2 linked regions of the Oryzias latipes genome follow. The protein of the gene in region 1 interacts with the protein of each later gene in a pairwise test. Links are inferred from orthologs where the notes say so. Each region holds a gene or a part of one and is shown in the gene's direction. Other genes may lie near its edges. The genes, in order: lhx9 and khk.

Evidence for each region.
Region 2: the proteins of lhx9 (region 1) and khk interact in binary tests that used the Homo sapiens proteins (3 or more experiments, as listed by UniProt). The two-hybrid records come from large-scale screens. The link is inferred for Oryzias latipes from reciprocal best matches to the Homo sapiens genes LHX9 and KHK.

The regions. Positions count from the first base shown.
Region 1 is NC_019862.2:14,399,362-14,403,943, forward strand, and holds the start of lhx9 (LIM/homeobox protein Lhx9), read left to right. Parts: upstream 1-1,767; 5' UTR 1,768-1,895; intron 1,896-4,262; exon of another isoform or gene 4,263-4,582. UniProt on the Homo sapiens protein: Involved in gonadal development.
Region 2 is NC_019863.2:25,263,847-25,268,206, forward strand, and holds the start of khk (ketohexokinase), read left to right. Parts: upstream 1-1,385; 5' UTR 1,386-1,497; coding exon 1,498-1,598; intron 1,599-3,502; coding exon 3,503-3,619; intron 3,620-4,360. UniProt on the Homo sapiens protein: Catalyzes the phosphorylation of the ketose sugar fructose to fructose-1-phosphate.

The DNA.
Region 1 (4,582 bases):
CTCCGCCTCTCCTCCTCTTCTTTTTTTTAATCTTTCAGGAGAGCTCCCATGGCGAGTTTTGGTGTCACTTGAGGTGACCCAGAAACGATAGCTCCAGATGAACCCTGGATGTGTGGTAATCCAGCCACCATGCCCTACAGCAGAGAGGAACCCGCTTTGTGCTGTAGCCGTGGTTTCAGAGAGGAACCAAGCACCTTGCAGCACCTGCCCGGGTGTCACAGTCGAAGAACGCTACATGAGCATTACGTGTTGTGGTACACTCTGAAATGGATCCCTGCATTGCTGCATTATTGATGAGACACACTGTGATGTCAACCCAGGCTGAAGGAGCAAAGCAAAATGACTCTTAGCAGTGTGGCACATGATCATTTATGCAGGCAGTGCAACGGAGTAATTAATTGTCACCCTTTGCTCCCAGCAGCAGCGTTCACTAACACTGTATTCCCTTAACTTGTTGTCAATTGAAATTTGTCCATCTGTGCCTGAGAGGGTTGTTCTCCAGGAGGTTGATGGTTGGTTTGGGACACCCACTTTTCATGGTGACCCTGTCTTTTGTTGTGTTAACACTAAATACAGCAGGTGGAGACAACAGACACATTTTTTTCTTGTTCAAATTGTCAGATTAATCATCTGGAATAAAACAATCAGAAAAAATGTAAGTAATAATAATAATTCAGCTCTGAAAAACACAAATCACACAGAATTAGCACTTTTAATCTAACATAAACAGTATTTGAAATGAATTAATCCTTGAAATTGTTCATTTTTGTGATTTATTTAAAATTATCTTTAAAAGGAAGTCACATATGTGCAGAATAGTCCCCCAATTATTGCTATTAATTTGTATGAAAAATGTCACCTTGGTTCTGCAGGAAAGATGGCTACAGTCACTTCAGAGGTTGAGTATTGATTATTCCACAAATATTTTTCTTTTTTAAGTGTTTTTAAAAAATCAGAAATGCTTGTTTGTGTTCTCCAGAACCTTTTTTTTTCTTTAGAAATTGTGTAGGTTTTTTTCTGTTTTTGCATCCATAGCCATGTAATCCTCAACTTTTCCACAATTTTTAAATGTAAATAATAATCAAAATAAACGTTCTAAATGTAAATAATAATCAAAATAAACGTTTTAAAGAACCCTTTACTGTTTTGCTGTTTCCACGTCATTACTACGCTCAGACCCCCCCCCCCCCAAAAAAAAAAAAAAAAAATTAATGAGCACTTTTATTTCGAAGAGGCTTCAGATTTGGCATTTGGTCATTTTACGCGTTTGTGTGCTGGCGTGCGTGTCCGCGCCCCCACATCTTTGTCTGGCTGATTGATCCAGTTTGACTGTACACCCATATAATTAGGCTGCTTATTCACATAAACGTGCAGACAGTGAAACTGGAGCTGTAACTGCTCTCACTTGAGTTGCATTCAGCAAACGCACATATCATGTTACAGTTTGGTGACTATAAGCTGTGCGCTTTTGTTTTTAGTGCATAAAGATCTGCTTTAATGCAGAAAGAAAAATGTCATTCCAAAATAAAGAAAATACATCAATGATGTCAAGTTTTGGCACTAATTACATTTATGTTTGTATTCATAAATCGTTTGCCTTAAAAACTTAAGGGTCTTCCCGCATTTTGCGGTAAATCAGAAATTACAAACATAGTGGGCCAAGAGCTTGCCTTTTGTCAGTGTGTTGCGTTTAGGGTTGCATACGAGAGAGGAATATTTAAATGTCTTGTGTTTTAATTGACGCTCGAAGTGGAGGTGCGGTAACGAGGAACAGCCCCCCATACCGGCAGCTTCTCCTCTGCCTCCTATGCTGTGTGCGCACAGACCGCAGCCCGCCCGCCTGTCAGCCTGCACGCACGCAGCACAGAGGACTCACACACGCTGCGCAGCCTCAGGTAAGACCTTCTCTTCGGCTTCTTGGTCTTCGGGACAATTTAAAAAATGCCAAATTGGGTTGTTTTTGAGCGAAAAGCCGTCTGAAATCGAGCGATGGGTGCGCGTCAAGCAGCGCGCGACACATCTGGTGACAAAAAGAGCGACAGTGAATTCTGCAGGAGGATGTGCTGGAAGGTGAGGCCAAAGAAAGTATAGCGAGATCTCCATATTTTTTTCCATTCTTTAAAAAATATAAATATGAAATCCTTTTAGGTCTTTACCTAGTTTTTTTTCCTCCTTTGTACATAACATAATTTTTTCTTTTGCATTTCTTAGATTAAAAAGTGACGCTTTAGAAATAACAATACGCTATGTAATTTTGTAAATTTTGCATAATAATTTATTTGACAATAATATGATCTATGGTTGTTTTTTTTTATTTTTAACACTTGTGTATTTAATTTATTCGTTGTTTTTTCTTCTTCCATTTTTTGTTTAAAATGCCGTTTAATTTGCGCTCATTGCGTTGATGTTTTTCGCTGTTTTATTTCGTTAAACAAGGTCACAGCCCACATCCTAAATCAGGTCAAATCATTAACACTAACTAAAGCAAAAAAGGACACGCAACGTTTCAAAACCAGCATTAAATGTTTATTTATGATGCCACCATGGAGAAAACGTAGTTTCAACCATGAAGATTAAAAAAGTTCAAATTAATTGTCTTTTATTTTTGTGTTTATTTTTTAAATGTGTACGTTTTTGAAGGCAAAGTTCACCTTTTCCCTCAGCTTTCTGATAGTACAGTAATAGGATATTTTAAAGAAAAGATTAAACGCGTAAACTATATATCCTGTAATGTGTGGCAGCGTTCACATCTCAATTAGACAGAGAAATGAAAAACCCAAACAAAACAGCAGCACGTCCCTTTGATGTTCACTGAGACAATGTTAAAGCATCATCAGTCAAAAAGAAATGTCACCGCTGGAGGCGACGAGTCCAAACAGCACTTTTGCAACCATTTTTAAGGCGATTTGGGTTTTTACGCACACATTCGCATAAAAATATAGGAAAGAATATGCAAAACAATCCGCTTTGGAATAAATATAAGTGAGCCGGTTTTATCTTTTCTCTTGGGGCGTCTTTGTCCAGGTGACCTAACCCCCCACCCCCTCCTTAATTTTTTATTTGGCCCCTCCGACGAACAGCTGCGGGTCCAGTCCGTCCAGGAGGGCCGGAGCCTCGACTTTTGCTGCTGTTATCAAGGGGCTTCCAATTAGAGCCAGCACACCTCCATGATGTGTGTTTGTGTGCGGTAGGTGGAGGATGCAGGAGGAGGAGGGGTTCACATGATAATGTTACGCGTCCTAAGATGAAGCATCCACACCTGCAACCCACCCCCACCCCGAGCCTCTGTCTATTATTGGACAGAAAGTCTCGGCAAAATCCAGAAAACTGATGTGTCTAGAGTTTATCCCCCTGATTTCAGCTAAAGGCCTGCTTTGTGATTGTCACAATCACTCTTATGGTTAGTTATTATGGTTAGTTGTCACCATGCTTGGCCTTTACTGGACGCTAAAAAAAAAATCCCTTTTTTATTTGCGTAACAGAGTGTTCACACCCTTTAAACGCAACACTGATATTTCCTTTGGCTTTATCCTTCCATGTTTCACATAGAGGATAGTTAATGGATTTTCTTAACGCTTACATTTCTTGAAATATGCACAAAAAAACTGCTTATGGTTCCCCTGTGGCGACCACCAACTGGAGGTCTACTTTTATCTCTCATCTCCCTCCAAAACCCAGTTTGTAGCAAAGACTGCAAGACAAATTAAATCCAGTTTGGGTTGTCAGTTCAACTCTCCTGCAGGTAAACAAGGTTTTGGCCTCATTTACAGAGAGAGGGAAGACGGGATTTAGTAATATTATTATTATTATTACTATTATTATTATTATTACTATTATTCAGGGTGGGAAATTGGAGTTTATAAAAATAAAATAAGAATAATTCAAAAATAAAAGCATCAAAGTAGAAGCTTACAAAAAACATTTTTTAATGGAATTTTTTCCCTTCATATTTAATCTTAGTAGTCCCCGCCCCCGCTTGTTACTGATCACTGTCCCGCCCCAGACAATGAATTTATGACCCCCCCCCCCCCCCTCCTCCACACACACTCTCACCCCATCATTACACTAATTAGGGACATCCAAACACCTGATTCGGGTCAATTCTGGTTCATCAAAACCCAAATGAAACCAATTAGGAAGACACGTTTTAAAAAACAAAACAAAAAAATTAAAAAACACATTTCTTCTCCTGTTTTAAACCATTATTATGTTTGTGTTTTAACACTTACACGATGAAAAAGTATTAGGCCAATCTTCTATATAAGATTATTTGTGCAATAGTAGGTTTTCATGAAATAATAGCAGCGGTGGAAATGTAAATTCCATACAGCAATTGTCCTGAACGCGGCCAGAATCTGGAGATTTTTTTAGGGTAGAGTGACAGCTCTTTGTTGAAAATCGGTAGGAGAGAGGTTGAGAGACAGGCGCGGAGCGAGAGGAGAGAGGGAGAGAAAAGGAGGAGAGGAGAAGGAGAAGGAACTCCTCCTACCAAATTATTCAGACTGGGCCGGCTCTGCTCTCTTCTCAAATAGGACACGGCTCTCAAATGCAGGCAGTCCCAACCTGACCTCCGCGCGCAGAG
Region 2 (4,360 bases), on another chromosome or scaffold:
GATCATGGATATACATGGATCCAGTGCGGCATCACTGTTGTATCAATGCGTATGAATGATGGTGATGGTCAGAGGGACCGTAGGCGCGAACTGGCAGCCATGCTTCTGTCATCTCCAAGTATGAATGAGGAGTGAATGAATATTGAACACAATGTAAGCGCTTTGAGCGTGTGCAAAACTGCAGATAAATCTAATCCATAATTATTTTTTTAATTTTAACTATTTGTCTGCAAGTGGATGCATCAGAGTAGAGCGGAGTGGGGATTGTCATCTTCCCATTGTAGCACCTACATCACACCTACAAGCTTTTCCTACTACAATTTTTCATCTGCTCCTGATTCATTTGTTGAATAAAAAAATACTCATATGCTTGTTGTTTGTTTCTTTTTGTTCATTTGCCCTTTAGTTTTGATTATATCTCTTTTCAGGTGTTGCTTTGCCACAAACTGTGGGGATGTTTGCTTTAGCACCCACCGTGACTTTGTGTGTAGTTTTTGTAGTTCGCAATCAGCAGAGTCAAGAGGTCAGTGCATACAGTAGGGGACGTTCTGCCCTTGCTTCGTCAGCAGATTCTTCATAAAACAACAAAAAAAAAGTAAAACTTCCCGTCACGTTAAATGTGTCATTAGCCCTTGAAGCCCTCTTGCGGGCCAAGGGGTCTGACATAGATGAAATCCTCACCTTTTGGCAGGTGGACCTTATAGGACACACAGGAAAACAAACAGAAAATGTTCTGACAGTGACAGTGACAGTGACGTCTAAACTGAAGCAATAATGTTTGTGCAGTGATGCAATGCTGCTCCTTATGCAACTGGCTGGCTCCTCCCCTGAAACAGCTGAGAACTTTGTTCCACTGCATCGACAGGAGCGTTTATTCATTCATGAATTTCCTGAGCTGTTAATTCAGCTTTTATGGAAGGAAAAATAACCTGCACACTGAAAATACAGTAGTGGGTTTCTAACTCGTGAACCATGACTTTGAGGACTCGGACATAACCACCACTTCCCTCTGCTGTCTATATTTATAAGCTACAAACTAAACATTTTGAATAAACTTCTGCATAGTTTGTATTACTGAAAAGCTTTCTGTGGTCTGGAAGGGAAGTGATTGGACGGTTTCAGTTATTGGCTTGGACAAACTCTTACGTGTTTATATGATGCCACACACATCATGCACACAATGCAGTTATATAGGAGGGGCTGCTCACTGGTTCTGGTTGGGTCTAAAGTGCGGTCTTGTGAATGAAAATTTACTGCAAAGGTGTCAATAGTCCACATCAAGATTATGATGCATGAAAGGTAGTAAGAGATGTTACAGAGTCACCAGTTTCCATTGGTACCAGGGAAGCTCTTATTTTGTAGATTAGCTCACAGGAAGTGCTGGTTCTGCTAGTAGTGGCTTGACTGGAAGAAAATGAGCTGTGTGTGAGTGTGTGAAAGAGCAGCATGCTGCAGTGTGCGTTCATGACAGCCTGAGGACACACAGGGACAGACCGGATGAGCATGGCGGAGCAGAAAAAGATCTTGTGCGTGGGTCTGGTGTGTCTTGACATCATCAACGTGGTGGACAAATACCCTGAGGAAGACTCTGACAGCAGGTTAGCACACAGGCTAGCAGCCACACACTCAAAACTCTTCCATCAGCTGATCTGCCAGCACATACACACTTTTGTCTCTTTTGATGCTTCTGGTAAACCAATTGTGTTGTGGAAAGCAGCTACATTGTTTTTTAGAAAGCTTTTGTGTTCTACTGATGTGTCCTAAAATTTATTTAATCAGTGTGGATCCGTAGTCATTCATTCATCTTCCAAACCTGTTTTGTCCCTTTTGGGGTCACGGGGCTGCTGGAGCCTATCCTGGCCACTCGTGGGAGAAGGTGGATCCCCGGTTTCTTCTTTTTTTAATGGCTATTAAGTGTCTGTTGAGCTCACATTAAAGAAAATCTGCAACTCATCGTGTCTCAGGGGCAAAGTTTAACCTGCTAACCAGTCATAAACGCCAACTGCTGCCAAAAATCATCATCTGAGCAGTGAAATGTTCAACTGTTGCAACGCAGCTCTGACAAGTTCAGTTCAGTTTGAGTGGGGTTGGGGTTCAGGGTTTGGGCTGGGGTCAAACATGAGTGCTGTGGCTGGAGGACCATCGCAGCCTCACATCAGGACAACTGTGCTGACCTTCAGGGCTAAGTGCTTACATAATGAGGCTGCTGTAAAAAGATAACTTAGAAGAGGACGTTCTCAGGACAAATGCAAGCCAACTATGCTTACCCTTAGCCCCGCCCCTCACAGGGTTATAAAGGCAAGAATCAGGACTTCAAACAATTCCATCTTTACGTTGACACTGGTTTTACAAGAGAGCCGTGACTCTTCTACCCCTTCAAACAGACATAAATACATCCACATGTGCATTTCAAGATCATAAACGGATAGAAACCTGGTTTTTTGAAACGCATCTTCTAAGCCTCAAAGACAGGTGAAGGTTTTGGAATTTTCTCTGGAGGGCGACAGAAATCTTTGAATGCTTTCTGGGAAAAGACACAATTACCCTTTGACTGCACAGTTATCTGGTGAAGAAGAATGTTATGTTCATAGTCTGATAAAAGCTTTAACGACCAAATTTCCAATGACTGCTCGTTCTCTTGGTCTCAGCATATTTTTTCAAGAATATTTATCTGCCTCTTAAATTGCCGGACCTTCTGAAATGATTTGGGGGTGCTCTTTGTCTATGTGTTCCTGCTCCGATCTCTATTTTCTCCACTTCTTTTTATTTAATGTAGTTTAGGGCCTAAACTACAAATGTTACTCAAAATGATAATTACTAAATTTACAACTGCACTTACAGTAGTAGCATTTTAGTTTGAAAAGTAGTTTTTTTGGAAACCTGAGGTTTAAAAAAAATTAAACGCCAACTTCAGCCCTGTTTGGACCGGTCTGTGAAAATATTGTCTGCCATTAATCCGGTCTGTGGGACCACTGGTTTACAGAATCCCTGTTGTATGAAATGCCCATTTAGATGAGACCAACAGTGTTTAGATAGCAAATGAAAAGCAGTTTTTCAGCATCGGTTAATAAAGCAGTTTGAATTTTCTAGATGTTACTGAGAAAGAAATAATACAATTTTGTTATACCAATGCGTTAAACCTCAGTCTCAGGTGGAACCATCAAGACAGAAAGTAACAAAAAAAAAAAGAGTGATTATAAAAGACAGTGTCACATACACTTAAATATTTTGTATGAACAGTAGAATCTGTCACTGCATTTGTTCTGGATGGGATGAGTCCTGTTGATGAAGAGTACTGGTGACATGCTGCATGTTAACGTTTTGGTTTTCTTCAGAATATTTACCAAACAACAGTAAAAACTGGAATAATGCAAATGCTAAAAAACTTAAAGGATGGATAGGACTTTACCTTTTTTTTGTCCAGAAACTCTCTTCATTTGTTTATCCCTAAGTTTTCTTGACGTTTTCTGAGTTTACAGATGAGTGTGACCCCTGTGTTCAGGTGTTTGTCGCAGCGATGGCAGCGAGGCGGGAACGCGTCCAACTCCTGCACTGTGCTGTCGCTGCTTGGAGCTCCGTGCGCCTTCATGGGCTCTCTGGCTGCTGGTCTGACCGCGGAGTGAGTATTGACAGACACATCTGACTGAAATCACTGTTGTTCAGGGCTACATTTTCTGATCCCACTGAGCTGTTCCTGTTGTAAGGAGAAGGCTGGATGGTTAAAAAACAGCAGAGAGCAGGTGGATGACAATTTATTGAGAGCTTGGAGATGGGCAGAGAGCCAGGCAGGCAGTCAGGATCAAACAGTGAGTTCTGCAGCCAAACCATCCAAATAGCTGCACTGGAGTCAGTAAGAGGACAATCTGGCACAGAGTGGCTGGAGGAACTGGGCTTTATGCCGTTGGTCTGATGAGGGAAGTGACTCCATCTGAGAAGGGTGTGGAGCAGGAAAAACAAACCGGAACAGAGGCAGGGATCCCAACATCTCCCCTGTGACTGGATCTCCATGTGCATACCAGACAATGTAAAGAAGTCATTTCCAGAGTCGATTTCAGGTCAGACCACTCACCGCCACCCCTACTTTCCCATCACGATGTTGTCTCTGCTTTTTTTCCTCATGAACACTTTTCATCTTCTGCTAACCCTCAAACAGCCCCCCCCCCCCCCCTCCATGGTTTTCAAGACCTGGAACTCACCTCTCCTCACAATCAGTTATGTGATAAACCTAATTTGACAATTGAGTCACACATTCTCAATGAATTGCTTTGGAAAAACTTTCTTGCAACAGGAAGTGTCAAAGGGATGATCCTTTACGGGGAGCTACGCAGTAGGTTAGCCTATTTTAGGGGTTCTAATAAAT